4 linked regions of the Anolis sagrei genome follow. The protein of the gene in region 2 interacts with the protein of the main gene of each other region in a pairwise test. Links are inferred from orthologs where the notes say so. Each region holds a gene or a part of one and is shown on either strand. Other genes may lie near its edges.

Region 1 (7,999 bases), on a different chromosome or scaffold from region 2:
ATTGTGCAAGAACGAAATTCTCCATGCATCACACACAGCCGCCACAGACTTCCGCTCCTTGTCAAGAGCAGAGGCAGGGGGGGAAAAAAGGCATCCATTCTGGGTCTATAACAAAAGAAGATCGGGGGAGACCGGGAGCTGCGTAGGGAGATCTCTGCGTGTCAGTGCTGTACACACTGAAACCTAGAGAGGAGAGAGAGGGGAAGCAGCTGAACTAGCTAGGCAAACCCGCCGCCATCTTGCAATGCGGGAAAGAAGTTCACAGAAAGCAGTGAAGGGGAAAGGCGGATTCAACACGTAAACAGGCACATACACACACACAAACATAGAGGACCCTTCCACACTGCCATGTAATCCAGAATATCAAGGCAGAATAACCCATAATATCTGCTTTGACTTGGGTTATCTGAGGGCCCTTCCACACAGACCTATATCCCAGGATATCAAGGCCGAAAATCCCACATTATCTGAGTTTGGACTCAGATAACCCAGTGCAAAGCAGATATTGTGGGATTTCCTGCCTTGATATTCTGGGATATAGGGCTGTGTGGAAGAGCTCTGAGGCCCCTTCCACACAGCTGAATAAAATCCCACATTATCTGTTTTGAACTGGATTATATGGCAGTGTGGAAAGGCCCCGAGTCCACACTGCCATATATCCCAGTTCAAAGAAGATATTGTGGGATTTTTTGCCTTGATTTTCTGGGATATAGGGCTGCGTGGAAGGGCCCTGTGATCACAGTGTCATATATCTCAGGGCCCTTCCATACAGCCCTATAACCCAGAATATCAAGGCAGAAAATCCCACAATATTGGCATTGAACTGGGTTATCTGAGTCCACACTGCCATATATTCCAGTTCAAAGAAGAAAATATGGGATTTTAATTCAGCCGTGTGGAAGGTACCCAAGTTCAAAGCAGTTAATGTGGGATTTTCTGTTCTGATAATTTTAGGATATAGGGCTGTGTGAAAGAGCCAGAGCTACATGAGTCCACACTGCCATATATCCCAGTTCAAAGCAGATAATGTGAGATTATATTCAGCTGTGTGGCAGGGACCAGAGCAACACAGGGGTTCCTTTTCCTATTCCAAATTATCAGGCGACTTTTGCCATATATAACAGGCATGGGAAAACTTGGTCCATCCAGGTGTTTTGGACTTCAACTCTCACCATTCCTAACAGCCTCTGCTTAAGCGGGAAAGGAGGGGGCCTGAGGCTCTTAGGAATGGTGGGAATTGAAGTCCAAAACACGTGGAAGGACCAAGTTTTCCCATGCCTGTTATAGATGGCAAAAGCTGCCTGATAATTTTACAATTTTTAGCAATCTCCTTTGGAATAGGAAAAGGAATCCCTGTGTCTCTCTGGTCCCTGCCACACAGCTGAATATAATCCCACATTATCTGCTTTGAACTGGGATACATTGTGAGATTTTCTGCCTTGCTATTCTGGGTTATGTATGGAAGGGCCCTGAAAATATTCCTGCTTCTTGGCAGGGGGTTGGACTGGATGGCCCTATATCCCAGATTCTCCTGTAAAATTAATCCCAGAGACTATGGAGGTGGATCCCATTTAGGGCCCTTCCACACAGTCCTATATCCCAGATTCTCCTGTAAAATTAATCCCAGAGACTGTGGAGGTGGATCTCACTTAGGTCCCTTCCACACAGCCCTATATCCCAGATTCTCCTGTAAAAATTAATCCCAGAGACTATGGAGGTGGATCCCACTTAGGGCCCTTCCACACAGCCCTATATCCCAGATTCTCCTGTAAAAATTAATCCCAGAGACTGTGGAGGTGGATCCTACTTAGGTCCCTTCCACACAGCCCTATATCCCAGATTCTCCTGTAAAAATTAATCCCAGAGACTGTTGAGGTGGATCCCACTTAGGTCCCTTCCACACAGCCCTATATCCTAGAATATCAAGGCAGAAAATCCCAGTTGTGGACTCAGACAACCCAGTTCAAAGCAGATATTGTGGGTTATTCTGTCTTGATATTCTGGAACATAGGGCTGTGTGGAAGGGCCTAGCTGAAAATTTGGGGAAACGTCGCCATCACAAGGCCCGATCCAAGGGAGGCTTGGGAATCCAGACAAAAACATTGTGGGTTTGGTTTAAACCTCTATCCCCCACACACACTCTAACACAATTCCACAGATTGACCCAAATCTTGCTGCCATAACAAGGCCCAGTCCAGTGAAGCTTCGTCGTCGAGATAATCCACGCAGTAACGTCGTCCAAGCAAGGGCCAAGGCGGCGAAAGAGTAGTATCTCTTGCCTTTATGTCAACACCTAATCCAACCTCCCCCCCCCCCCTTATATATATATATAACCCGGCGAAGGCGGAAGTGCCGAAAGAGCGAGGCCTACTTCCTCACCTTGTTGATGCGCTTGAGGGCCATGGTTGGTGGGCGAGGGGCGGGAGGCGCTGCTCCGTCGGTGTCGCTGCTGCTGCTCCTCCTCCGCCTTCTTCTCCGCCGCCTTCTCCGCCGGGCCTTGCCGCCGCCGCACTCCCTCCCTGCGGAGGATGGAGCCTGCCTGCCTCTCTCGCTCTCTTCTCGCGCTCCTTCCTCCGGAAACCAGCCGCGCCGACGTCACCGCCTCCGCCTCTGGCTCGTCCCACCTCTGAGAAAGCCTTCCCCGCGGCCTAGTTCGGTCCCGAGCCCTTGAGGCCTAAACGCCCGCCGGAGTTTGCGAGGAAAGGAAGACTGGGTGAAAGCTTAAGGCGCCGCCGCCACCGCCGCCGCCACTGATGGCGAGGCCGAAGAAAGGGGCGGGGCTAAATAAAGGCCCCGCCTCCTCCGCCGCTGCCCTCCCTCCCTCTTTGGCGTGGTTTCCGATTGGAGGAGGCCTGCAAACGCTTAACCGCCACCGTAGCCTGGATGACTTGACTGACTGACTGGCCGCGCGCTTGCTCTGGCTCGAGACACAGAGAGGAAAAGCTTGTGTTGTTACACCCGCGCATGCGCACTTCGTGCTGTTTGTTTCTATTCTGCCCTTACAAGATATATTAAAGTGGAGGAGGAAGGGGGAGGGGGAAGGGAAAGGAGGCAAAAGAACCTCTCGCGAGAAGAGTGTGCGACCGCTCGCCGCTGAATAAGCCCGTTCTTGTCCTCCGTGCGCATGCGTAGAGAAAATTAGATGTCTTCCCCAAAAGAAGCTCTCGCGATAAGAAGAAGAAGGGGAAGGGGGGAGAAATGTGTTGTGAGCGCGCGCCGCTGAATAAGCCCGTTCTTGTCCCTCGTAGCGCATGCGTAGAGAAAAATTACATGTCTTCCCCAAAAGAAGCTCTCGCGATAAGAAGAAGAAAAAAAGGGGGGGGGGGAGAAATGTGTTGTGAGCGCGCGCCGCTGAATAAGCGCGCTCTCGTCCTCTTTTTGCGCATGCGTCGAAAGACATTTCTCGGTCTCGCGCATTCAGCAAATGGCCGCTGAGGAGAAGGGACGATTTTGTCATGAGAGGAGAAGAAAAAGAAGAAGAAGGAAGAGGCTCTTGAATCCCTCCCCGCTTTTTAAAGGAATCATAGAATCCTAGAGTTGGAAGAGACCTCATGGGCCATCCAGTCCAACCCCCTGCCAAGAAGCAGGAATATTGCATTCAAAGCACCCCTGACAGATGGCCATCCAGCCTCTGCTTAAAATCTTCCAAAGAAGGAGCCTCCACCACACTCCGGGGCAGACAATCATAGAATCAAAGAGTTGGAAGAGACCCCATGGGCTATCCAGTCCAACTCCCAGCCAAGAAGCAGGAATATTGCATTCAAATCACCCCTGACAGATGGCCATCCAGCCTCTGCTTAAAAGCTTCCAAAGAAGGAGCCTCCACCACACTCCAGGGCAGACAATCATAGAATCAAAGAGTTGGAAGAGACCCCATGGGCTATCCAGTCCAACTCCCAGCCAAGAAGCAGGAATATTGCATTCAAAGCACCCCTGACAGATGGCCATCCAGCCTCTGCTTAAAATCTTCCAAAGAAGGAGCCTCCACCACACTCCAGGGCAGACAATCATAGAATCAAAGAGTTGGAAGAGACCCCATGGGCTATCCAGTCCAACTCCCAGCCAAGAAGCAGGAATATTGCATTCAAATCACCCCTGACAGATGGCCATCCAGCCTCTGCTTAAAAGCTTCCAAAGAAGGAGCCTCCACCACACTCCGGGGCAGACAATCATAGAATCAAAGAGTTGGAAGAGACCTTATGGGCCATCCAGTCCAACCCCCTGCCAAGAAGCAGGAATATTGCATTCAAAGCACCCCCCACAGATGGCCATCCAGCCTCTGCTTAAAAGAGCCTCCACCACACTCCGCGGCAGAGAGTTCCACTGCTGAACGGCTCTCACAGTCAGGAAGCCTAAAACGGTTTGATTGCGTTGAAAGATATATATTCCAAGAGTCAGTATACATGGGCTTGTAATGTAGTTGTGCTTGGACATTAACAACAACTTGGAAGAGACCTCATGGGCCATCCAGTCCAACCCCCTGCCAAGAAGCAGGAATATTGCATTCAAAGCACCCCTGACAGATGGCCATCCAGCCTCAATTTAAAAGCTTCCAAAGAAGGAGACCCCACCACACTCCGCGGCAGAGAGTTCCACTGCTGAACGGCTCTCACAGTCAGGAAGCCTAAAACGGTTTGATTGCATTGAATGAGATATATTCCAAGAGTCAGTATACATGGCCTTGTAATGTAGTTGTGCTTTGGACATTAACAACTTGGAAGGCCCTTACGCAACACAGCAAGCTCTTTCCAAAGATGGAACTTCATTGGAGTGATGTTATAGGCCTATTTCTATCTTTCTTCTATCTATCTATACATCTATCTATGTCAGGGGTTCCACAAACTTTTTAAACAGAGGGCCAGGTCACAGTCCCTCAAACTGTTGGCAGGCCAGATTATAATTCGAAAAAAATACGAATGAATTCCTATGCACACTGCACATATCTTATTTATAGTGCAAAAACATTTTAAAAACAATACAATAATTAAAATTAAGAATAATTTTAACAAATATAAACTTATTAGTATTTCAATAGAAAGTCTGGGCCTGCTTTTGGCTGATGAGATAGGATTGTTGTTATTGTGTGCTTTCAAGTAGTTTCATACTTAGATTGACCCTGAGCGAGGGCCGGGTAAATGACCTTGGAGGGCCGCATCCGGCCCCTGGGCCTTAGTTTGAGGACCCCTGATCTATATATACATACCATACATATACACATTACACATACACATTACATATAATAAAAGTATAATGTATATATGTGTAAAAGTGAAAATTTGTATGTGGCTGGAGTGTTCACTTCCACAGACAGGCGCCCACTTCCACAAATAGCTTTAACCCACAGTCCTGAGGGGCCACCTAAAGCCCCCCCCCCCCCTCCAATGACATTTCAGGTTATAATAATAATAATAATAATATAAATAATAAACCTTTATTTGTACCCCGCTACCATCTCCCGAAGGACTCGGTGCGGCTTACAAGAGGCTGAGCCGAAATACATCAGTAAAAACAACAATAATACAACAATAAATAAACTCATAAACAAGGCAATAACATTAACAACACGCAATGACGCAATTAAAAACAATGTCAGGGCCAAATGTAATAATTAAATTTAAAAAGTGCTGGGCATGACCAGGTGAGGTGTTTGGAGGGGGATGGGCATGCAGATATCCTGGATCTCTGATAAAGTGCGTTGGGACATAATGCTAGGAGTTTCCTTATTCTGGGAAGGCACACTGGAACAACCACATTTTCAAGCTCCTCCTAAAAATTGCTAGCGACGGGGCCTGCCTGATGTCCTTAGGGAGAGAGTTCGAGAGTCGAGGGGCCAGAGCCATGAACATGTCTCCCATACCCTGCCCATGTCCCCAATCCCGCCACCCAAGGAAACTTGCACTTCAGGACAGGAATAGCCCTCTTATTTTAAACACCACACATTGAGTAGGGAAAAAAACAATCATTTTATTGAAGATAAGTAAAAGCAGCAAAGTAAAGGAAAAAAACACTTTAAAGGAATAGGTAAATCCAATTAGGAAAGAAGATAAGCAGGAACAAATTAGTCCAAGGTAAAGTTCAGCAAAGTCCAAAAACAAAGCCCACTCTTCTCTAACAAAATCCAGAGAACTAGGAAACGTTGATCCAAGGCATCAGTATACAACCACCAGAACCAAGAGTCAAACCGTTGAACAAGAAATCCTTAAACATAAATCTTCCAGAAAAAACTTCCATGAGGCAAGAACCAGAACTTAGCAGGATTCTAAAACGATGCTTCATCTGACTGTATTTCCCACGCTTGGAACTTTATGTCCCCTCGTTAAGCCATTCCAAGCACTCAGAAATTGGTTTTGTTTTCCCTGAATGCCTCTCATCCTTATCTGTCAAAGCCTGGCAGAATGCCGAAGGCTTTGGCCGAGCTGTCTTGTTTTGGCTAATTTCCACCCGCCTGTCTATATGCTCATTAGTTTCTGCAGGTGCCAAGTTGTTTTCAGATCCTAAGAACTTTCTGGGAGCAATTCAGGGAGTAAAGCATCATCCCTATACCCTGTAGGAACATTCTCATGGGAAACTACACTTTGAACCGGTGTGACTATGTCATCCTCTGCATCAATACCATTGACCAAACCATTTCCATCTTGAATCTCATTGACATCATTCCCCGCATCCAAAGCACCATGATTTTGAAACACAATCACAGGCTGAACTCGAACAGAATCCTTTCATTCAGGGACAATTTCATCCTAGATTTTATGTGTTTTCTCCATCACAGACATCCCAGTGTTTCTTACTCTTTCCATTGGTGTGGAATTTGCATGATCCCACTCACTGCATCTCCCTTAACCCTTTCCTACACTTCAACGGAGCCCTGAGTGGCGTAATGGGTTAAACAGTTGAGCTGCTGATACTGCTGATTGAACATTATAGTAACATTATAAATCAGGGCTGGGCAATCCAGGTGTTTTGGATTTAAACTGTGGGAGTTGAAGTCCAAAACACCTGGATTGCCCAGGTTGGCCCAGGCCTGTTAGGCTACTATCTGGTTGGAGTATTGTCAAACTGCATTCGTTCTACAATGTGGATTCAGCCTGCGAAGGTCTGTTCCCAGTGGTAGCAAAGTAGCATAGTACAGATTCATATAGGAAGATACTATCCTTTTGCTAGCCTGGATGCAAATCATACAGGGCTTTATAGGTCAAAACCAGCAATTAAAATGGTGTCCTGAAATCAATTGGTAGTTAAGCTGTTGCAACCAGGGAGTTTATGCTCTCTAACCTGTCCTCATTTTCTGGGTTCAGGTCTTTGAACTAACACCCTTTCTACACTGCCATATAATCCAGATTATGAGAGTTGATAATCCACATCTGCTTTGAACTGGATCACATGAGATTCAGGCCCCCTGGTGGCACAATGGGTTAAACTGCTGAGCTGCTGAACTTGCTGACCGTAAGGTCATAGGTTCGAATCTGGGGAGTGGGATGAGCTCTTGCTTTTAGCTCCAGCTTCGGCCAACCTAGCAGTTCAAAAACATGCAAATGTGAGTAGATTAATAGGCACAGTTTCTGCAGGAAGGTAACGGCGCTCCATGTAGTCATGTTGGCCACATGACCTAGGAGGTGCCTACAGACTATGCCAGCTCTTTCACTTAGCACCACCCCTCAGAGTCAGACATGACTAGATTTAATGTCAGGGGAAACATTACCTTCATATGGGGGCCCTTCCACACAGGCCTATATCTCAGAATATCAAGGCAGAAAATCCCACAATATCTGCTTTGAACTGGGTTATCTGAGTCCACACTCAGATAATATGGGATTTTCTGCCTTGATGTTCTAGGATATAGGGCTGTGTGAAAGGGCCCAAAGTTTACACTAGCATATAACCTAGTTCAAAGCAGATATTCTGGATTTTATATGGCAGTGTGGAAGCGGCCTAAGTGAAACCTCTGTGTGCTTTCAGCTCCAATAACAATATGATCCTTGGTGCATACTACTTCTTTTTT
Region 2 (7,035 bases):
GATCCAATGACACAGGACAGGTTGAGCAGTTGTACTAGATCTCCTCCAACTCTGCAATTTGTTTCAAGATGGGCGCTTTCTTCTGTATCTTGGCACTATATAATCAAGATTGTGGCTGAAATTACAATGATTGATAGCAGGGTGGGTCAGAGTGGAACAAGAGGAAAGAGCAAGAATACTTCTGCAGAACTTTCCATCCCATCTCTTTCCCAGATTGAGTAACTCAGGCCTATTCAACCTGTGGCCCTCAAAGTGTTTGGGACTTCAGCTCCCAGTAGTACTATCCAGCTTGTTCAATGGTCAGGAATTCTGGCAGCCAATGTTCAAAACACTTGAAGGGTCACAGGTTGTGTAGGCCTGGAACAGTTGAACATGTATACTCTTGTATATCAACACACAGAAACCGGGATGCGTGATGTTTTAAAGATATGAAGCAGCAGGCGAGCTGCTGTAGCAATGCTACCTCAAACCCAATACATGTGGGCTGAATTATCACATAGTTGCCTCTAAACAGGATCGACTCACAAAGGCTGGAGTGCAATGGAAGAATGGCTTAACTTGACCATTTAAACTCGATGGTGACACACATCTGTTCCTGGCTTCAGTTCTTGTTAATGACAGATATTGTTGCTGTTGTTGTTGTTATTATTATTATTATTATTATTATTATGTGCCTTATTATTATTATTATTATTATTATTATTATGTGCCTTACATCACTTCTGACTTATGTGGCCCTAATGGGTTTCTAAGGCTGAGAGTGTGGCCCCTTCCACACAGCTGTATAAAATCCACATTGAATTGGATTGTATGATAGTTCAAAGCAGATATTGTGGATTATCTACCTTGATATTCTGGGTTATACAGCAGTGTGGATAGGCCCTGGGTTATATGGCTATATGGAAGGTTCTATGTGTCTTGCCCCAGGTCCCTCAGTGGGTTTTCACTGGTCAAGCAGTGATTCAAACCCTGACTGTCCAAGACTCAAAACACTATGCCACCCTGACTCCTGCATTATACTGCATTTTCCCCTTAATTTCCAAAGCATCTCAGGGCCCTGCCACACAGCCATATAACCCAGAATATCAAGGCAGAAAATGCCACAATATCTGTTTTGAACAGAATTATTTGAGGGCCCTTCCGCACAACCCTATATCCCAGAATATCAAGACAGAAAATCCCACAATATGTGCTTTGAACTGGGTTATTTGTGTCCACACTCAGATAATGTGGGATTTTCTGCCTTGATATTCTAGGATATAGGTCTGTGTAGAAGGGTGCTCTGTTCACACTGCCATATAAAATGATTATTTTGTTGTTGTTGTTGTTGTTGTTGTTATAATAATAAATAACAATAATAATTATTTCATACTACATGTAATATTACTAACATTACAGTATAGTGGTATAGTACAATATAGTAATATATAATATTATTATTGTGCTATGCTAATAATATAATATATCGTATGTACTTGTAACTTGTAAGTCACCCCTTTGGGGTGAGAAGGGCGGAATATAAATGTCGTAAATAAATATAAATAAATAAATAAAATCCAGTTCAATGTGAATTTTATACAGCTGTGTGGAAGGGGGCCTCTGTTCACACTGCCATATAAAGTGATGTAATATACAATATTACTATTGTGCTATGCTAATAATATAATATATTGTATGTACTTGTAACTTGTAAGTCACTCCGAGTCCCCTTTGGGGTGAGAAGGGCAGTATATAAATGTCATAAATAAATATAAATAAATAAATATAATCCAGTGAGAAGGCCGGCATATAAATGTCGTAAATAAATAAATAAAAATAAATAAAATCCAGTTCAATGTGGATTTTATACAGCTGTGTGGAAGGGGCCTCTGTTCACACTGCCATATAAAATGATGTTTTCGTTATTGTTGTTTATTATTATTAGTTATTTCATATTACATGTAGTATTTCTAATATTATAGTATAGTGGTATAGTACAATATAGTAATATATAATATTACTATTGTACTATGCTAATAATACAATATAATATGCTAATAATATAATAATGTGGATCTTATACAGCTGTGTGGAAGGGGCCTCTGTTCACACTGCCATATAAAATGATTATTTTGTTATTGTTATTTATTAGTTATTTCATATTACATGTAGTATTTCTAATATTATAGTATAGTGGTATAGTACAATATAGTAATATATAATATTACTATTGTGCTATGCTAATAACATAATATATTGTATGTACTTGTAACTTGTAAGTCACTCTGAGTCCCCTTTGGAATGAGAAGGGTGACATCTAAATGTTGTAAATAAATATAATCCAGTTTAAATTTGGACTGTATACAGCTGTGTATAAGGGGCCTAAGATCCTATCTACACTCACCATTTAATGCCATTTCAAACCAGTATTGAAAAAGGTGGTTTTGCTGTGCAGATGATTACAAAGAAAGTCCTGGAAAAGGCTTGGGTGGTGATCACACATGTCATCAGGTGCACATTAAGGACTTTTTAGTGAGTTTGTTGCCCCGGCTGCTAGCTAGCTTTGGACTGCATTACATGGGGCCTAAGAAAGAGGAAGAAACAGCTAACCTGAGTGGACAGACATATACAGGAACTTTATAACTGAAACCCCTTTGTGACTTTTGGCCCAACCTTATATACCAGGCATGGGCCAACTTGGGCCCTCCAGGTGTTTTGGACTTCAACTCCCACCATTCCTAACCGCCTACTGGCGGTTAGGAATGGTGGGAGTTGAAGTCCAAAACACCTGGAGGGCCCAAGTTGGCCCATGCCTGGGCTAGACCTGGAGCTATGGCTTCAAGGAAGGGGGCTTCCCATATACATACATATACACACACACAGCTATACCTGGAGTAGACTGGGAGCCGGGGGAGTGGTGTTTTGGGGCGCCCAGCAGGGGCCCTGCGAAGCCCCTCACTCGCAATGTCCTACTGGCTGAAATGCCCTCCCCTCCAAACAGGAACCGACGTCACCGGAAGTAGCCCTCGACCATAGAGAAAGAGAGAAGAGCCCAGAAGGGCGCTCCGACGGGATTGGCTGGACGGGTGATGGAACGCCGCGTTGCTAGGCGACGGAGAAAGAGGGGCCGGCAATCAGCAAGGCATCCGACTGAGTTTTCAAACTTTGGGCCTGTGAGCGACTCGGACTCCAACTCCCAGAAGCCTCAGCCAGCTTTACCAGCTCCCAGGAATTGTGGGAGTTGAAGTCCAAAAGACCTGGAGGGCCCAAGTTGGCCCAGGCCTGTTAGAGAGGGACGGAAAGTGCGAGGAAACGTTCTTAACTACGGGTTGTTGTAGGTTTTTTCGGGCTATATGGCCATGTTCTCCTGACGTTTCGCCTGCATCAATGGCAAGCATCCTCAGAGGTAGTGAGGTCTGTTGGAACTAGGAAAAGGGGTTTATATATCTGTGGAATGACCAGGGTGGGACAAAGGACTCTTGTCTCCTGGAGCTAGGTGTGAATGTTTCAACTGGCCACCTTGATTAGCCTGGCAGTGCCTGGAGCAATCTTTTGTTGAGAGGTGCTTAGATGTCCTTGTTTGTTTCCTCTCTGTTGTTGTGCTGCTCTAATTTTTTTTAAGAGTTTTTAAATCCTGGTAGCCAGATTTTGTTCATTTTCATGGTTTCCTCCTTTCTGTTGAAATTGTCCACATGCTTGTGTATTTCAGTGGCATCTCTGTGTAGTCTGACATGGTGGTTGTTGGTGTGGTCCAGCATTTCTGTGTTCTCAAATAATATGTTGTGTCCAGGATGGTTCATCGGGTGCTCTGCTATGGCTGACTTCTCTGGTTGAAGTAGTCTGCAGTGCCTTTCGTGTTCCTTGATTCGTGTTTGGGCAATGCTGCGTTTGGTGGTCCCTGCGTTTGGATGGTACACGCTAGACTCCTGCAGAGGTGAGAGGATCCCTCTTGTCCTTTGCTGAACGAAGCATTTGTTGGATTTTCTTGGTGGGTCTGTAGATTGTTTGTATGTTGTGTTTCCTCATCAGCTTCCCTATGCGGTCAGTGGTTCCCTTGATGTATGGCAAGAACACTTTTCCTCTGGGTGGATCTTCATCTTTGTTCTCGTGGCTGTTCTCGGTCTTTTAGCTCTTCTGATGTCTGAGGTGGAGTCTCCATTGGCCTGTAGAGCCCAGTTGAGGTGGTTCAGTTCATCTTGGAGAAGGTGGGGTTTGCAGATTCTTTTTGCACAGTGTGCGAAGGTTTTAATGGTGCTTCTTTTTTGACTTGGGTGATGGTTGGAGTTTTTATGTTCGTAACTACTCTTTTTCACCTAACTCCAAGGAAGCCCCTCGGGTGCTGGACGAGTGCCTGGCCGCTGTGGCTGTCTGGATGAGGAGGAACAAGCTGAGGATCAACCCTGACAAGACAGAGGTCCTCCTGGTAGATCGTAAACCGGATCGGGGTATAGGGTGGCAACCTGTGCTGGACGGGGTTACACTCCTCCTGAAGTCACAGGTCCGCAGTCTGGGTGTCCTTCTGGACTCATCACTTACGCTTGAAGCTCAGGCGTTGGCGGTGGCCGTGAGGGCCTTCGCACAATTAAGATTTGTGCACCAGCTGCGACCATACCTCGTGAAGTCGGATCTGGCCAGGGTGGTCCATGCCTTAGTCATCTCCAGATTGGACTACTGTAATGCTCTCTACGTGGGGCTGCCCTTGAAAACGGCCCGGAAATTTTAATTGGTACAATGGGTGGCAGCCAGGTTGCTAACCAGTGCTTACAGAGAGCAGTCAACCCTCCTGTTTAAGGAGCTCCACTGGCTGCTCTTCATTTTCCAGTCCCAATTCAAGGTGCAGGTTCTTACCTACAAAGCCCTGAACGGTTTGGGACCCGCCTACCTGTGTGACTGCATTTCTGTGTACAAACCCACACGATCTCTTTGATCATCTGGAGAAGCCCTGCTCACGCTCCCACCGCCTTCGCAGGCGCGACTGGTGGGGACGAGGGAAAGTGCCTTCTCGGTGGTGGCCTCTCAACTCTGGAGTTCACTCCCTAAGGACATCAGACATGCCCCAATGCTGGCAGTCGTTAGGAGGAGCCTGAAATGCCTTCCCAGAATAGGGGAAGTGTGCCAGTGTGCCTTCCCAGAATAGGAAAACTCTTAGCAATATGTCCTCAAATGCACTTTAATATTGATTTAGGATTGTCTGCGCGCCCTCATCTTTCTTTGAAAACCCTATCCTAGCTTACCTTACCTTGTTCATGCCCAGCATTTTAAATTTTAATTATTACATTTGGCCCGGCCATTGGTTTTTAAATGCTGTATGTTATTGTTATTAATATTGCTTATCGCTTATTGTGTATTTTTTGTTTTTGAGTTTTATTTTATTTTAACTTTTGTATTGATTATTTGTTATTGCCTTTGCTTATTGATGTCCTGTGGGCTTGGCCTCATGTAAGCCGCACCGAGTCCCTTGGGGAGATGGTAGCAGGGTACAAATAAAGTTTTATTATTTATTATTATTATTAACAGGGGTACAGACAGGGAAACAAACTCCACAGGGGTGGTCACCCTTCCCTATGCTATCCAAAGCATAATGTGTGACTATCAAACTGCTGCCCTGATATTCAGTGATATAGGACTGTATGGAAGGACCCCCAGTCTGGTTCTCAAAAAAGCAGCCAGGCCATATTGCCTTATCAACTCTCCCTCTCTTCTCCTTTCATCCCATCATGTCAGAATGACACATGCAGCCTATCCTTGAAGGCCGACATTGGGCATCCTGACATAACTCCTCTGAGTCCCCCTCTGGGGGTGAGAAGGATGGGGTATAAATGTGTGAAATAATAAATAAATAAATAAATAAATAAATGGCAGTCAAGAACCAACACTGAGGGAAGTCAATAGTAGTAAACTGCTTAAAGTGCAAAAGACAAAGAGGGAGTACCGTAAAAACACAACCCAGAGCAGAAGAGAAGGCTCTCCATGGACAGTTTCTCAACCATATGGCGACTCAAGGCAGGTTACAGCTTGGCACAGTTTGATGCCATGCATTCATAAAGTGCAGTTCAAAACAAGCAACATAACAATGCAAAAATATATATAAACCATTAAAACATATAGTCATAGGTGTCATCCTGTTAAAACATCTTCCAATCACATCGTCTGGCCATCTCATGTTCATCATTCATAGTTTCATGTTATCTATTTTATTGCAAACTCAAAAGCTTGCTCAAAGAGCCAAGTTTTTACCTTTTTACGGAAAGTCAGGAGGGAGGGGGACGATCTGATATCCCTGGGGAGGGAGTTCCATAGCTGGGGGGCCACCACTGAAAAGGCCTTGTTTCTCGTCCCTGCCAATCGCGCCTGCAATGCAGGCAGGATAGAGAGCATGGCCTTCCCCGATGATCCTAAGCTCCTAGATAGTTAATCCGTTGCAACGAATTTTGATGACTAAAGGACTGGTAATCATGGACGATGAATTTTGGATTGTGATTTTAGTTACGAGATGCATGGGATTATTATTGGTGGCCCAATAATTTGTATTGTTTATGTGTTTCATGTTTTAAATTGAATACTGTTTTTTAATTGTTTTTAACTTTTTAGTTGTTGTAAACTGCAATGAGTCGCCGACTTAGGCTGAGATATTAGCGATATACAAGCGCATAAATAAATAAATAAATAGTTCATAGGAGGAGATACATTCGGACAGGTCAGCTGGGCCACAACCGTTTCAGGCTTTATAGGCTAAAGTCAGCACTTTGAATTGTGCCTGGTTGCAGATTGGCAGCCAGTGGAGCTGACGCAACAGAGGAGTAGTGTGCTTCCTGAGCGCTGCTCCTCTTAGTAACCTGACGGCCACCTGTTACCACTTAAAGTGCTAGGACTCAATGCTGGGCTCAATCCTCAGAGTTGTTTGGTGAGGCACCAGCATTCTTTAACAGAGAAGGCTTGTGAAACTATAACTCCCAGGATTCCATATAATTTAATAATTGGCAGTTAAAGTGGTGCCAAACGGCATTATAATGGAGAAGCACTGAAGAAAACAGGGTGCTGACTGGATCTCCTGCC
Region 3 (6,920 bases), on a different chromosome or scaffold from region 2:
ACTTTTAAAAATATGCTTGGGTAGTTGGTGAGGTAGGCCAATCTGCTTCTCTAGTCCTACCTACACTGCCATATAATGCGTTGTCAGAATGCAGTTTAACTACATTGAACTGCATTATACGGCGATGCAGACTCATATAATCCAGTTCAATGCAGTTAAACTGCATTCTGGAATTGCCTTATATGACAGTGTGGGTGGGGCTTCTGTTTTGCTCCTCATACACACTCAGTGATTCTGGAGGAGTAAGTGCACATAACTGCGGGAGGATCACCTAGAGTGGAACACATTCTTTCCTAGGTCAAGCTTCAATATTTTTTACCCAACACTGACAAGGTTTTGTTTTCCAATCCTCCTTTATCGAAGTCTATACTACATCTCCTGCCCCTCAAATTAGAAGGAAGACTGCATAAAAGAGTTATTTTTCAGGGACTTGTTAACTTCGCGTGCCTGTGATGTAAAATTAAAAGTAGAGCTGAATTTATTTTAAAGAGAATAAGCATTTCAATGGCATTCAAACATAAACCGAACCAATATAATTATTACACAATTTGAAGATTTCTTAATATTTAACACAAAACCAGACCACCAATAGCATATGTAATTTATGCTATTTTTGTACCTCATTTGGCTGTTTTTTGTGCTTGTGTGTCATCTGAGCTAGTTTCATTATATCTATTAAAGTGAGCTGCAATCTATAAAAGTCTGCACCAGAATAAATTTGTTAGCATTTAAGGTGCCATGGAAGAATATATGTTGACCAGGTAACTAGAAAGCCTGCCTGTTTGACCTGTCTGGGATGACAGCAGGGACAGTATTATCTCCTGCATGGATTGCTATAGAAGCAACAAAACATCTACAATCCTGGCACCATATAGAATCCACCAAAATATTAAAACATAAATAAATATACATTGCAACCCCTCTGTGTTATCTACCTACTGACTGAGATATCAAATACACTGACCACTTAAGTATGTTTTAAACCAGTTCAGCAGAAACTGGTTTTTCTGTATGGATGGTAAGATTGCTATTTCTGGAACAGATTTCAGACCAGGATGGTGATTACATTAACCACAAAAGTGATCTGGAACTGGTTCCAAAATCCACAGTATCCATGGCTTGCACATTTACATTGTGGACGCAAGAGGTGGAAAAAAGAAGGGAAAGTGAGAACTAGCAGTAGAGATAATCAATTATCTATCCCAAGGGGTCAACTGACCACCTGTTCCCCAGTCATGCCCTCGGCATTTTCTCATCAGTCAGCCCCATTCTGAGTTTTACAATACACATCAGTGCATCGGATGTCCACAATGAACTTTGTATGCTATGGAGCTGATTTTGCCATGTTGTGTGATTTACTTTGGGACTGTCATGCATTCAGGGGCTTGTTTTGGACTTTCCCCAACTTATGTTAAAAACCCTTAAAGTGTGTGGTAGTGTTCTTCAGTGGTGTGTGTTATTTAGCCACTAAGAGAAGTCCAAAACAAGCTGCTGAATGCACAGCAGCAGTCAGTGTAAATAAGCACAATTATTACCCATTTTTACAGATTGTAAGTCATCCTGATACCTTAGGAATATAGAGTACATTTGGAATGGCATGTTTTGGAGGGAAAAAATCAAGTTGGATATATTAAAAGTTTCAGGTATCCAAATAGAAACTGACATGTGGATATACCACATCATTATACTTTTTTTAAAAAAAGTTTAAATTTGATTTTTACAAAAGAAAAAAGTGATGCACAGTGTAACCCAATAGCATCCACGAGTCCATTTCATTTGTTTTACATAGAAAGGAACATAGCTCTAAATACGACTAGAGTTACTGGGTCATCAAAAAACAAAAATGCAAGTCTCAAAATGGTTTTACCAAACAAAGGTATTGATTTCAGCTAATGTAGCTATGGATTTCTCTATATTTTTTCACATTAACATATACTGGCAAATAAAATGATACACATGTCCACTTCTAAGGAAGACTCAAATCCTCAAAAAAAAAAAAAAAAAAAAAAAGGGTTTTTGAGCCGAGCTGTTGAGCCTCTACATAAAAAGAAAAGCTTTCTAGTGCACAAATAAAGGACAGACTTTGGCCCCTTCCCCACAGTTGTATGGAAGGAAAGGAAGGAAATGGAAGAGGGGCTGACCAAGGGCAAGATGGATGGATAGTATCCTTGAAGTGACTGGCTTGAACTTGAAGGAACTGGAGTGGTGACGGCTGACAGGGAGCTCTGGCGTGGGCTGGTCCATAAGGTCATGAAGAGTCAGATGCAACTGAACAACACACAGTTGTATAAAATCCACATTGAAATGGATAATATGGTAGTGTGGACTCAGATCACACAGTTCAAAGCAGATACTGTGACTGTGGATTGTCTGCTTTGATATTCTGGATTATATGGCATTGTGGAAGGGCCCTTTATAATAATAAGGGGTTCATGGCAAACCTCGTCCTGACTATAGACCCACTGAGGCTCCTTCCACACATCTAAATAAAATCCCATATTATCTGCTTTGAATATATGGCAGGGTTATCTGAGGGCCCTTCCAGAAAGGCCCTATATCCCAGGAGCTGATCCCAGGTTTTCTGTTTATCCCAGTTTATCTGGCAGTGGGGACTTCTACAATCCAGGTTACAGCAGGAAAATATGGAATCAGATATGGGTTATAGGGCCTGTCCGGAAGGGCCCTCAGATAACCCAGTTCAAAGCAGATATTGTGGCTTACCTATCTTGAAATTATGTGGGCCCTTCCACACAGTCCAATATCCCAGAGTATCAAGGCAAAAATCCCACAATATCTGCTTTGGATTGGGATATATGGCAATATGGACTCAGGGCTCATCCACACAGCCCAATATCCTAGAGTATCAAGGCAAAAATCCCACAATATCTGCTTTGGACTGGGATATATGGCAATATGGACTCAGGGCTCATCCACACAGCCCTATATCCCAGAATATCAAGGCAAAACATCCCACAATATCTGCTTTGAACTGGGTTATCTGAGGGCCCTTCCACACAGCCCTATAGCCCAGATTAGCAAGGCAGAAAATCCTACAACATCTGCTTTGAACTGGGATATATGGCGGTATGGATTCAGGGTCCTTCCACACAGCCCTATAACCCAGAATATCAAGGCAAAAATTACACAATATCTGCTTTGAACTGGGATATATGGCAGTGTGGACTCGGGGCCCTTCACACAGCCCTATATCCCAAAATACCAACGCAAAAAATCCCACAATATCTGCTTTGAACTGGGATATATGGCAGTATGGACTCATGGCTCTTTCACACAGCCCTATATCCCAGAATATCAAGGCAAAAAATCCCACAATATCTCAGATAGTGTGGGATTTCCACCTTGATATTCTGGGATAAAGGGCTGTGTAGAAGGGCCCTGGTTTCCATTAAACCCCTTTGTTCCCAAGTGAAAAGTTTTTCCTGTCCTGTTCCTCCCTCTTCGAGTCTGACAGTTGTTGGGCCTTCATCCGCCATGTCTCTTCTCGCGAGAAGAGAGCGAACCCTCGCCTTGCGCGGCCCTCACCGATGAAGGGGACGCCTTCGTGCTCTGTCCTTTTCCGAGGGGTTCCCTGCCGCGGGCCACACTTGCTCGTTCAGCGCCTTCCTAAGCGTCCGCGTAAGGTCACGCAGCGCTTCCCCACTCAGTCCGCGAGCCTGCCGCGACGGCCGCGAGGCGCATGCGCCAACGCCGATGGCGGAGGAATCTCATTAACCTCGCGCCGCCGTCGCGTCATAAAAGAACTTCGCTGAAGGGTGATGCGGCTGGAGGAGCCGCAGCGCCGAGAACGTCAGTGAAGGGAGAGCCGGGGGAAATAGTAAGGAGGGAGAGAAGCAGGAGGAGGAGGAGGGGGCGGCGGAAGGGGACGACGGAGCGGCGTGCAGGGGCGGGGCGGGGGCGCCGACGAGGGACTTGAAAGGGGAGCGCCCAGGAGGCCCGCGCGCGCCCCCTCCCTCCCTTCCAGCCTGCCTCTTCCGCCGAGCAGCCCCCGCGCTCCCTCCGCCGCCGGAAAAGTAGTCCCGCTCCTTCCTCTTCGCCTCCTTCCTGCCTCCTCGCGCGCCGCCCTCCACAGGCTCCGCCGCCGCCGCCGCCGCGATGGCGCTGAAGAGAATCCACAAGGTAAGGAAGGCAGGCTGGGAAAGAGGGAGGGAGGCGCCGCTCCAGGGGATGCCCGGCCCTTCCCTCCCTCCCTCCCTCTCGTGGGGGTCTTAGCTGTGGAGGAGGAGGAGGGAGGAGGCCTCCTTGGTGGCCTTTCGCGCCGTGTCAGCTGGGCCTCCCCGCCCCGAAGCGAGGCCCCGCGCTTGGGCCCCAAACCCTCGGCAGGCGGCGCCTCTCCGGCCTAGGCCGCAAGGCGCCTCCTGCGGGGGCCCTTCCCGAGGCCTATTGTTCCAAGGCGGCCCTCGCCTTTCCCAGAAGGAGGCCCGTGCTTTTGGTTTCTCTTTCCTGCCCCTCTCCCCGCCCGGGAGGCCAGGGATGAAGGGCACGCCTTGAGCCTGGCGCTGGGCATCGCTTCAAGCAAAGGGAGGGCGCCTTGCCCGGAAGAGAGGCAGGTGTGCGGCCCCGTCTCCCGCCATCCAGGCCCCGTCTACATGGCACTGTGGACTCATATGTAGATAATGTGGATTCTGTGCTTTGTTCATCTGGATTATGTGTCAGTCTAGAAGGGGGCAGTTGTATAAAATTCAAATTGAACTAGATGGCAGTGTGGACTCAGGACCCTTCCACACAGCCATATAATCCAGAATATCAAGGCAGGAAATTCCACAATATCTACTTTGAACAATATGGCAGTGTGGACTCATATATAGATGATGTGAATTCTGTGCTTTGTTCATCTGGATTATGTGGCTAAGGCCTCTTCCACACAGTTGTATAAAATCCACATTGAACTGGATTATATTGCAGTGTGGACTCAGGACCATTCCACACAGCCATATAATCCAGAATATCAAGGCAGGAAATTCCACAATATCTGCTTTGAACTAGGATATATGGCACTGTGGACTCCTATATAGATGATGTGGATTCTGTGTTTTGTTCATCTGGATTATATGGCAGTGTAGAGGCCTTTTCCACACAGTTGTATAAAATCCACATTGAACTAGATGAGTGGTTCTCAACCTGTGGGTCCCCAGATGTTTTGGACTTCAACTCCCAGAAATCCTAACAGCTAGTAAACTGGCTGGGATTTCTGGGAGTTGGAAGCCAAAACACCTGGGGACCCACAGGTTGAGAACCACTGAACTAGATTATATGGCAGTGTGGACTCAAATAATCCAGTTCAAAGCAGATGTTTTGGGATTTTCTGCCTTGATATTCTGGGTTATATGACTCTGGAAGAGCCCTAGATTATGTGGCGGTGTAGAGAGGGCCTAAGGCCCTTTCCACACAGCTGTATAAAATCTACATTGAACTGGATTATATGGCAGTGTGGACTCAGGGCCCTTCCACACAGTCATATAACTCAGAATATCAAGGCAGATAATCCACAATATCTGCTTTGAACTGGTGGCCCTTCCACACACCCATATTAACCAGAACATCAAGGCAGAAAATCCCACAATATCTGCTTTGAATTGGAATATATGGCAGCGTGGACTCAGATAACCCAGTTCAAAGCAGATATTGTTGGTTTTTCTGTCTTGATACTCTGGTTTATATGGCAGTGTGGAAGGGCCCTGGGTTATCTGAGGGCCCTTCCAGACAGTTCCTATATCCCAGAATCTGATCCCAGGTTTTCTGTTTACCTCAGATTATCTGGCAATGCGGACTCAGGGCCCTTTCACACAGCCCTATATCCCAGAATATCAAGGCAGAAAATCCCATGTTTTCTGCTTTGAAGTGGGATATGTGGCAGTGTGGACTCAGATGACTCAGTTCAAAGCAGATATTGTGGGATTTTCTGCCTTGAGATTCTGGGATATAGGGCTGTGTGGAAGGGCCCTCAAAGAATTCAATTGAAAGCAGAAAATCTGGGATCAGATCTTGGGAAGCCCACAATATCTGCTTTGAACTATCTGCGAGGGCCCTGGGTCCATACTTCCAGATAATCCAGTTCAATGTGGATTTTATACAGCTGTGTGGAAGGGGCTTCAGATAACCCAGTTCAAAGCAGATTTTGTGGGTTATCTGCCTTGATAGTATATGTCAGTGGTTCTCAAACTGGGGTCCCCAGATGTTTTTGGACTTCAACTCCCAGAAATCCTAACAGCTGGTAAACAGGCTGGGATTTCTGGGAGTTGTAGGCCAAAAACATCTGGGGACCCCAGGTTGAGAACCACTGGTCTAGGTTATATGGCTGTGTGGAAGGGCCCACAATCTTTTCCTCTAGAATTTAGTGGAGGTAATCCTTCCATGAATTTAGGACCCTTCCACACAGCCATATAATCCAGAATATCAAGGCAGTAAAGCCCACAATATCTGCTTTGAACTGGGTTATCTTAGTCCACACTGCCATATATCCCTGGGCCCTTCCACGCAGCCCTCTATCCCAGAATATCAAGGCAGGACATCCCACATTATTATATAGGGCCTGAGTGTGGACTCAGATAAGCCAGTTAAAAGCAGAAAATGTGGGATTTTATTTAGCGGTGTGTGTGTGTGTGTGTGTGTGGGGGGGGGTCTTACATAAAACAAAAGGAACACACCTGCAGCCCAGGAGGGAAAGGTGTCAGGCATGCCTCTGCCTCCTTTGTGTGCCCGCCTGGTGCTTCCTCTGCCACCTCTGCCCTCAGTCATCTCCCCTGCTACTTCCTGCCTCGGGTGTGTCTCCGGCACATCTTTAATGACACCTTTGGATTTATGCTTTAAGCATCTTGCAGTTCTCTCAAGGGAACAACATCCAGGCTACTGCAGTTGGAAAGCAAGCCTTACATATCTTTCTTCTTGGCAAACAGACCCAA
Region 4 (7,079 bases), on a different chromosome or scaffold from region 2:
CATCTGGACTGCAGAATACTGCAGCTCAGACCGTATTCCCACAGTTTACCGGGCTAAATAAGGCCAATAACTGTGGGAATACCCATCCCCTCCCCTGAAGCCCCCAGATCCCTTAGAAAAGTAATAAAACTTACCTGGCCTCCATTACAAGCCTCGGCAGGCTCGTCGAGCAGGACGAGGAAGGGAGGAAAATTGCTCCCCTCCAGCTCTCCTGGCACATCATTTCTACGCGACGGGAGAGTCCACCGGAGCTTGTAATGGAGTCTGGGTAAGTTTTTATTACTTTTCTAAGGGGTCTGGAGGCTTCAGGGGAGGGGGGTAGGGCCTCCCTCCAGATGTTCTCTGGGATGGGTGTGGACAGGTCCGTGTTTTTAAAGTGGATTCTCCTGGGATAAAGGCCTGTCTGGATCTGGTCTCAGCTACCCGACACTATGAATGTAATACTTAACCAATAGTCTTCTTGAAGGAATTTTTTTGCTAATAGTCTTTTTGAGAAATTTTAGCAATTTTCTTCTTGCTTAGAAGGCTTAAAAATAGATCCTGTTCTGTGAATTTTTCAAAATTCTACTATCAGATTTTCTCAGCACTTGAGAAACACATTTTTCATAATTTTTGCATTATTTTTGTACATTAGTTCCATGAATACTTGTCAAAAAAAGCCAGCCATGCAGAATGTTTGCTGTGTGATCAATGCAGATGCCAATAAATGGATGTTGATAATTTACTAGGCTGTTAAAGTTGGTCTGAGCCAGATCAGTGTTGGAACATATAGTTCTGCCTAAATTATCAAAACTTTTCTGATGTTCCCAATGATTGGATTTTTCAAATGGCAAGACCGCATGGAGAAAAGTGTTGAAACAGCATGCCCATCTCTGAAATTAAAATTGTCTAAAGCAATTTTAGGCTATAGTACCAAATCCAAAAGTCAAACAGAAAGTCTACTTTAAGTGGTTGCTACTGAATATGATTGCTTTATTTTATTTATTTCCTGATGTCCAAACACTCCAAAGTAGATTAGAAGTTAAAATAAAAACAGTAGAATAATATACAAGAAAGAACTCTCTTCCCAACTCCTAAAATGGCATGTTATAGCAGGAAAGAACAGAATATTAGCTGTGATCAGCACAACTGGGTTATAGGAAAGTGTCACCTAACAAGTCCCATATCCTAGGGTGAAAACAGAGTTATTCAAACAACCTCTTGACTGCCACATTGCAAAGAAAGAACTGTTAAAATTTACAAGTGGCTCGCAAAGTGGTTGGATGAAAAACCTTGGGTAAGAAAAGAAAAGGTGAAGAGCATGGAGACCAGTCTGTAGGTTGTCTGGGGTCTGCTCTCTAAACTCTAAACATTAAAAGGATTTGGGGCTTATTGAAATTGGGTAAGAGGCAGAAAATTGTTGTAGCTGTCAAACCAGTTCCACTATGTTACATGAACTTAAGCAATGTTTCTTAAGTATGAGCGTATTAAGCCCTAGGCAACAAATTAGCACAGCAAAATTAGCACTTGAGCCATTAGAAATCCCTTCAAAGTGCTTCATAAACTTAGCCTGAGATCTGTTCAATCAACTAGATACAGGTTGGGTATCCCTTATAGAATTCCCAAATTCAAAACATTTCAAAATCCAAAATTATCCATGTGGGTGGCTGAAATAGTGGAAGTCTCACCTCCTGGTGCTGCAATGTACACTAACTTTGTCACATGCACAACATTATTAAAATATAGTATATGAAAACATTTCCAAACTCTATGAGTTGTGTCTCACCTCCAATATATTTCATTATGTATATGCAAGCATTGCAAAATCTGAGGGGGGGGGGTGGGGGGCAGAAATTCAGCACACTTCTGGTTCCGAGTGTTTAGGATATGGGATGCTCAATGTGGAAGTAAGCAAACACAATTTCACAGCTGTTTTTTATTCAGCTGTTTGTAAGGGTGTTCCATAGCATAATTTTGAGTAGTAGGGGAAAATGTATAACTTTCCAGCTCTTCTTGGGCTCAAATTGCCACCAACACTAGTCAGTATTTCCAGTTATGAGGGAACCCAATGCACCCTTCCACACAGCCATATAACTCAGAATATCAGGGCAGAAAATCCCACAATATCTGCTTCGCGCTGGGTTATCTGAGTCCACACTGCTGTATATTCCAGTTCAAAGCAGATATTAATAATAATAATAATAATAATAATAACAATAATAACTTTATTTATATATCGCTCTATCTCCACAGGGGGACTCAGGGCGGTTTCCATAGGTGGGATTTTATTCAGCTGTTTGGAAGGGGTCTAGTGGTAAGTTGATCTAGATCACGGCTATAATGCCTTTGCTGTTCCAGATGTTTTGGACTTCAATTGTCAGAAGCCTGCAACACCATCTCCAATGACCAAGGACTGTGAGTGAGAAACAGAGACGCTAGGTCCACCATCTACTGAGAATGCATGAAATACAACAGACAACTTATTTACACTACAGCAGAAAAATGAAAATACTTGAAAGCATCATTCGCTGAAAAAGTAGAGGATCTTTTACCAGCACTGAACAAATTCTCAACTTTTGTGGAAGTGATATATAAAACGACTTACCCATTTTGGAAATGTTGTTCAAGGTTTGAGCGTTGCACAATCTCTGAGCAGAAATCTGTGAAAGGACAGCTAACCAAGAGTTTATCCAAGAGTTTATTCACTAGTAAGCTGGATTTTCTGCAAGTCTGTAGTATCAGAGTTTTACGGTCCATAGGGCAGAAGTCTTGTTCCACTAAGAAATCTGTAAGGCAAACTGTGCAGAAGGTATGCCCGCAAGGTGTGTCCAGTGGTTCAAGCAAAGGTTGCAAACAAATGTGGCAAATGAGATCATCGTCCACATCTTCAGTGTAGGTATACATGTGGTTCTCTTCTGGTTGATGTGGCTGGCCACAGACCACACATAAGGAAACAGCGCTTTCTTCTGCTTCTCCTAATGGATCCTTTTGATTCATAACTGGAGAGTGTTGCATGACACAAAGGTCAAGGAAAAGATTTCAATTCAAATTTCAGTTTCAGTCCAAAATATTATCTGTTGTCTCAGTAGTTCTTCAGATCTGTAGGGAAGCATGATGACAAATCAAATGAAATTGTTTCGAAGCAACTGCATTATGAAGATTGATTATGACATACAATGCTCAATTAAACTTTCGTATGCGAGTCAATAGTCCATGACACTTTGGAAATTGAACAAGAACTCAAGATATACAGACACAAATTACAATATCAATTAAATGGATCAGCAACAGAAGATAAAAAGAATGAACAATTTAACCTATCTCTCCTAATGCTAACCAAATTCTCTCTGGTCAATTGTTTTCCAAATCCAGGTGCAACCACATACAAATGTTGTTTCTTTTTGAAGGCACCAAGAACTTGTCTCTCAGCAGATTATATAGTGTGCTACCGATTATGTAGAGAAATGAAGATGCTCAGAGGCTAGTCGATGCATGTTTTCAAGTTATTTCCAACATATAGTGACCCTTAAAACAATATCATTGGGTTTTTCCATCAAGGTCTGTTTGGGAGAGGGGATTACCTTTGTTTTCCTCTGAGGCTGGGAGAGTGTGATTTGCACAAGGTCACCTAGTAGGGCTACAAAGTGGAATTCACAACATGCGAGTGTGGAGAAGAGCAAACTACAGACCATCTGCTGCGATGTAACCTGAGTCCTGCTACATGCACCATGGAAGACCTTCTTGCAGCAACACCAGAGGCACTCCAAGTGGCCAGCTACTGGTCAAAGGGCATATAATCAACTACCAAGCTTACAAACTTTGTGTTTTGTTTGTTTGTGTTTTTTTGTTAAAAAATGCAATACAACTGTTTGGCTTGTTTCTGACACGATAAATAAATAACCTAGTAGGTTTTCATATCTGAGCAGGGATTTCAATATGATCTCCAGGCTCATAGTTCAACACTCAAAACACCACATGACATTGACTTTCTCTCCTCAACTGCTAAGGGTAAAGGTAAAGGTTTTCCCCTGACATTAAGTCCAGCCATGTCTGATTCTGGGGTGTGGTGCTCATCTCCATTTCTAAGCCGAAGAGCCGGCGTTGTCCATAGACACCTCCAAGGTCATGTGGCTGGCATGACTGCATGAAGCACCGTTACCTTCCCGCCGAAGCGGTACCTATTGATCTACTCACATTTGCATGTTTTCGAACTGCTAGGTTGGCAGAAGCTAGGGCTGACAGTGGAAGCTCACGTTGCTCCCTGGAATCGAACTTGCGACCTTTTGGTCAACAAGCTCAGCAGCTCAGTGCTTTAACCCACTGCGCCACCGGGGGGCCCTTATCCTCAACTGCTACCCGCCCATAAATAACCCACATCCCCAAAATTACAAATTTATCAACAAAATTGAAAATAAAGACCTACTCATGGATAAAGTAGGATAAAGACCTACTTTCACTTCTGACCCATTTGTCCAATTCAAAGGTTAACGAGAGAAGCTGAACTATATGAAAGAACAGATTAAAATGATCAAGGGTCTGGAGAACAAGCCCTATGAGGAACGATTTAAAGAGCTGGGCATGTTTAGCCTGAAGAGGAGAAGGCTGAGTGGACACATAGCCATGCATAAATATGTGAGAGGAAGTCATAGGAAGGAGGGAGCAAACTTGTTTTCTGCTGCCCTGGAGATTAGGACATGGAACAATGGCTTCAAACTACAAGAAAGGAGATTCCATCTGAACATGAGGAAGAACTTCCTGACTGTGAGAGCCGTTCAGCAGTGGAACTCTCTGCCCCAGAATGTAGTGGAGGCTCCTTCTTTGGAAGCTTTTAAACAGAGACTGGATGGTCATCAGTCGGGGGTGCTTTGAATGCAATTTTCCTGCTTTTTGGCAGCGGGTTGGACTGAATGGCCTATGAGGTCTCCTCCAACTCTATGATTCTATGATTCTATACTCTGGTTGGCTACCAGTAGAACTGGTATTGTAGAACTGTCAATATACTATGCTGTGAAAACTCTCTTTCTTTAGCTTCAAAAGATCATACTGCCAAAATACGTAAGATTAGTATATTATTGTTATTGTTAGCACTCATTTAATACTCACAACAATCCTGCAAGGTAAATTAGAATGAAAAGAAGTTATGCAGCAAGCTTTATAGCTAAATTGGAACGAAAGCATGGTCTCCATTTAGGTGTTGCACCAAACTGGTTTCATGTTTTATCGTACAAGACTGATTTGAAATGAATTCTACAAAAGGTTGGTTTTTTTGTTTTTATCCAATTTTGCAATTATGGCAATTTGAAGAAAAAATTAAAAGAAGAGAAAATAAAGGTTTTTTCCAAAGGAAAGGTCTGTTTTGTAATAGCAACGAGACGGGGTAGAGATGAAGAATCATACTCACTGATGCCATATGGCTGCCATCAAATTGGAACAGAAGCAGAAGGAACCTATCATACTGAAATAAAGAATGGTATGGCAATGGAATGAATAGCCATTAACTGTTACTATCTATGAAAAGGAGTCCTATTAAAAGGAGTAATGAGGGAAGCAAATGACCTCTTCACAGGGGGCTAAATTCAGTGGTATGCACCAATTTAGTCCAGGTACCCATGGAGCCCACCGGCTCGCATCAGACAACACTGTGCTGGCTCTATGGGTGAAGAAGGGCAGAGCTGGTGCATTTCACTGCCGTGGCAACATGGGAGACTTTAATGGAGAGAAGCTGCACACACCACGCTTCTCCCATGGGATCAACTGCCGGGCAATGAAGGGTATGGGGTGGCCACTTCTCCACCCCTTCTCCATCCCTCCCCCCCCCCCCCCCGTGAAACACAGAGATGTGGGGCATGTTCAACGGCCGTGTGACAAGGTCAAAAGAGGCAGCAACTATTGACAATAGACATTATTATCCTGCTACAATTGTGGTTGGCCAGCCTCATGTGATAAGTTCCAATGTTGACATGAAATAAGAATGATTTTTAAGGCCTAGAACCCATTCACACTATACAATTATAGCACTTGTATACCACTTCAACTGCCATGGTGCCATCCCTTGCAATCCTAGGTTTTGTATTTTAATGAGGCACTGGGGAATTCTGGCTGAGAATTCTAGATGACCCTTCATACATTTCCAGTCCTAGGATCCCATTACATGGAAGTACTTAAGCAGGGGGACAGCAGGGGAATCTGTCGGTCAATGGGGCAAATTTGTTGGGCAGTGAGGGAAATTGACATTAATTGCCCTGCATTGCTTGCTTCCCTATCACATGGGGAAAACCATTGCTGCCCGGCTTCCCTGTGTTGTCCCCAGCTTAGGTAAAGAGAACATAAGTAGCCACCCATGTTCTCAGGGCTTCATCCAATGATACTGCTAGGATGAAACCCACTGGATATAGCCCTGCGTCATGTGATGGGTTCCATTGGGCTCCATCCTAGAAGCATTGTAGGATGGAGCAAAAGACTCATGCGATGAGGTCCCATGTGATGGAACCATGGCAGTCAAAGTGGAATGAGCCTTCTTGAAATTATTTATTTATTTAAAACATTTAAATTTCGTCCCTCTCACCCCAAAGAGGACTCAGGTCAGAGCACAACATATATATGGCAAATATTCAGTGGTGGAACTTAAAATAAACTATAAATATACATAAACACTCAAATCAATTATCTTCACTTTAAAATCAATTGTTTTAAACCATCTCAGATCAGCCATACCGGATCCGGTCAGTAGGGTAAAATTTCCTATTGTTGCCTTATTGCACTGTCCCAAAGGTAATTCCGCCTGTGGAATTCACTCCCCAGGGAAATTAGGTCATCGGCATCCCTCCTCAACTTTAGAAAGAAGGTAAAAAAGTGGATGTGGGATCAGGCCTTCGGGTAATTAGGCGGAAATGACAAATGACAATTTTGACAATGGCTTGGAAATGGATTATGGATAAGTTTAATGGAATACTCAATCACAGCATACGGCTAGATAATGGCCACCAGACTGTTAATAGTTCGGTAAACTATAAGTATATTGTTTTAATGTTTTTATGCTTTTAACTGTTGTAATTATTGGTGTTTTGTATTTTATTATGCGGCATCGAATTGTTGCCAAT

The links.
Region 1: the proteins of TRIM39 (region 2) and UBE2D3 interact in binary tests that used the Homo sapiens proteins (3 or more experiments, as listed by UniProt). The link is inferred for Anolis sagrei from reciprocal best matches to the Homo sapiens genes TRIM39 and UBE2D3.
Region 3: the proteins of TRIM39 (region 2) and UBE2D2 interact in binary tests that used the Homo sapiens proteins (3 or more experiments, as listed by UniProt). The link is inferred for Anolis sagrei from reciprocal best matches to the Homo sapiens genes TRIM39 and UBE2D2.
Region 4: the proteins of TRIM39 (region 2) and LNX1 interact in binary tests that used the Homo sapiens proteins (3 or more experiments, as listed by UniProt). The two-hybrid records come from large-scale screens. The link is inferred for Anolis sagrei from reciprocal best matches to the Homo sapiens genes TRIM39 and LNX1.

What each region holds. Positions count from the first base shown.
Region 1 is NC_090025.1:27,743,903-27,751,901, forward strand, and holds the start of UBE2D3 (ubiquitin-conjugating enzyme E2 D3), read right to left. Parts: upstream 3,004-7,999; 5' UTR 2,404-3,003; coding exon 2,380-2,403; intron 1-2,379. UniProt on the Homo sapiens protein: Accepts ubiquitin from the E1 complex and catalyzes its covalent attachment to other proteins. In vitro catalyzes 'Lys-11'-, as well as 'Lys-48'-linked polyubiquitination.
Region 2 is NC_090022.1:23,343,430-23,350,464, forward strand, and holds the start of TRIM39 (E3 ubiquitin-protein ligase TRIM39), read right to left. Parts: upstream 3,001-7,035; 5' UTR 2,869-3,000; intron 116-2,868; exon of another isoform or gene 96-115; 5' UTR 1-95.
Region 3 is NC_090024.1:137,845,892-137,852,811, reverse strand, and holds the start of UBE2D2 (ubiquitin-conjugating enzyme E2 D2), read left to right. Parts: upstream 1-3,915; 5' UTR 3,916-4,113; coding exon 4,114-4,137; intron 4,138-6,920.
Region 4 is NC_090025.1:74,813,061-74,820,139, reverse strand, and holds the start of LNX1 (E3 ubiquitin-protein ligase LNX), read right to left. Parts: upstream 3,004-7,079; 5' UTR 2,995-3,003; coding exon 2,585-2,994; intron 1-2,584.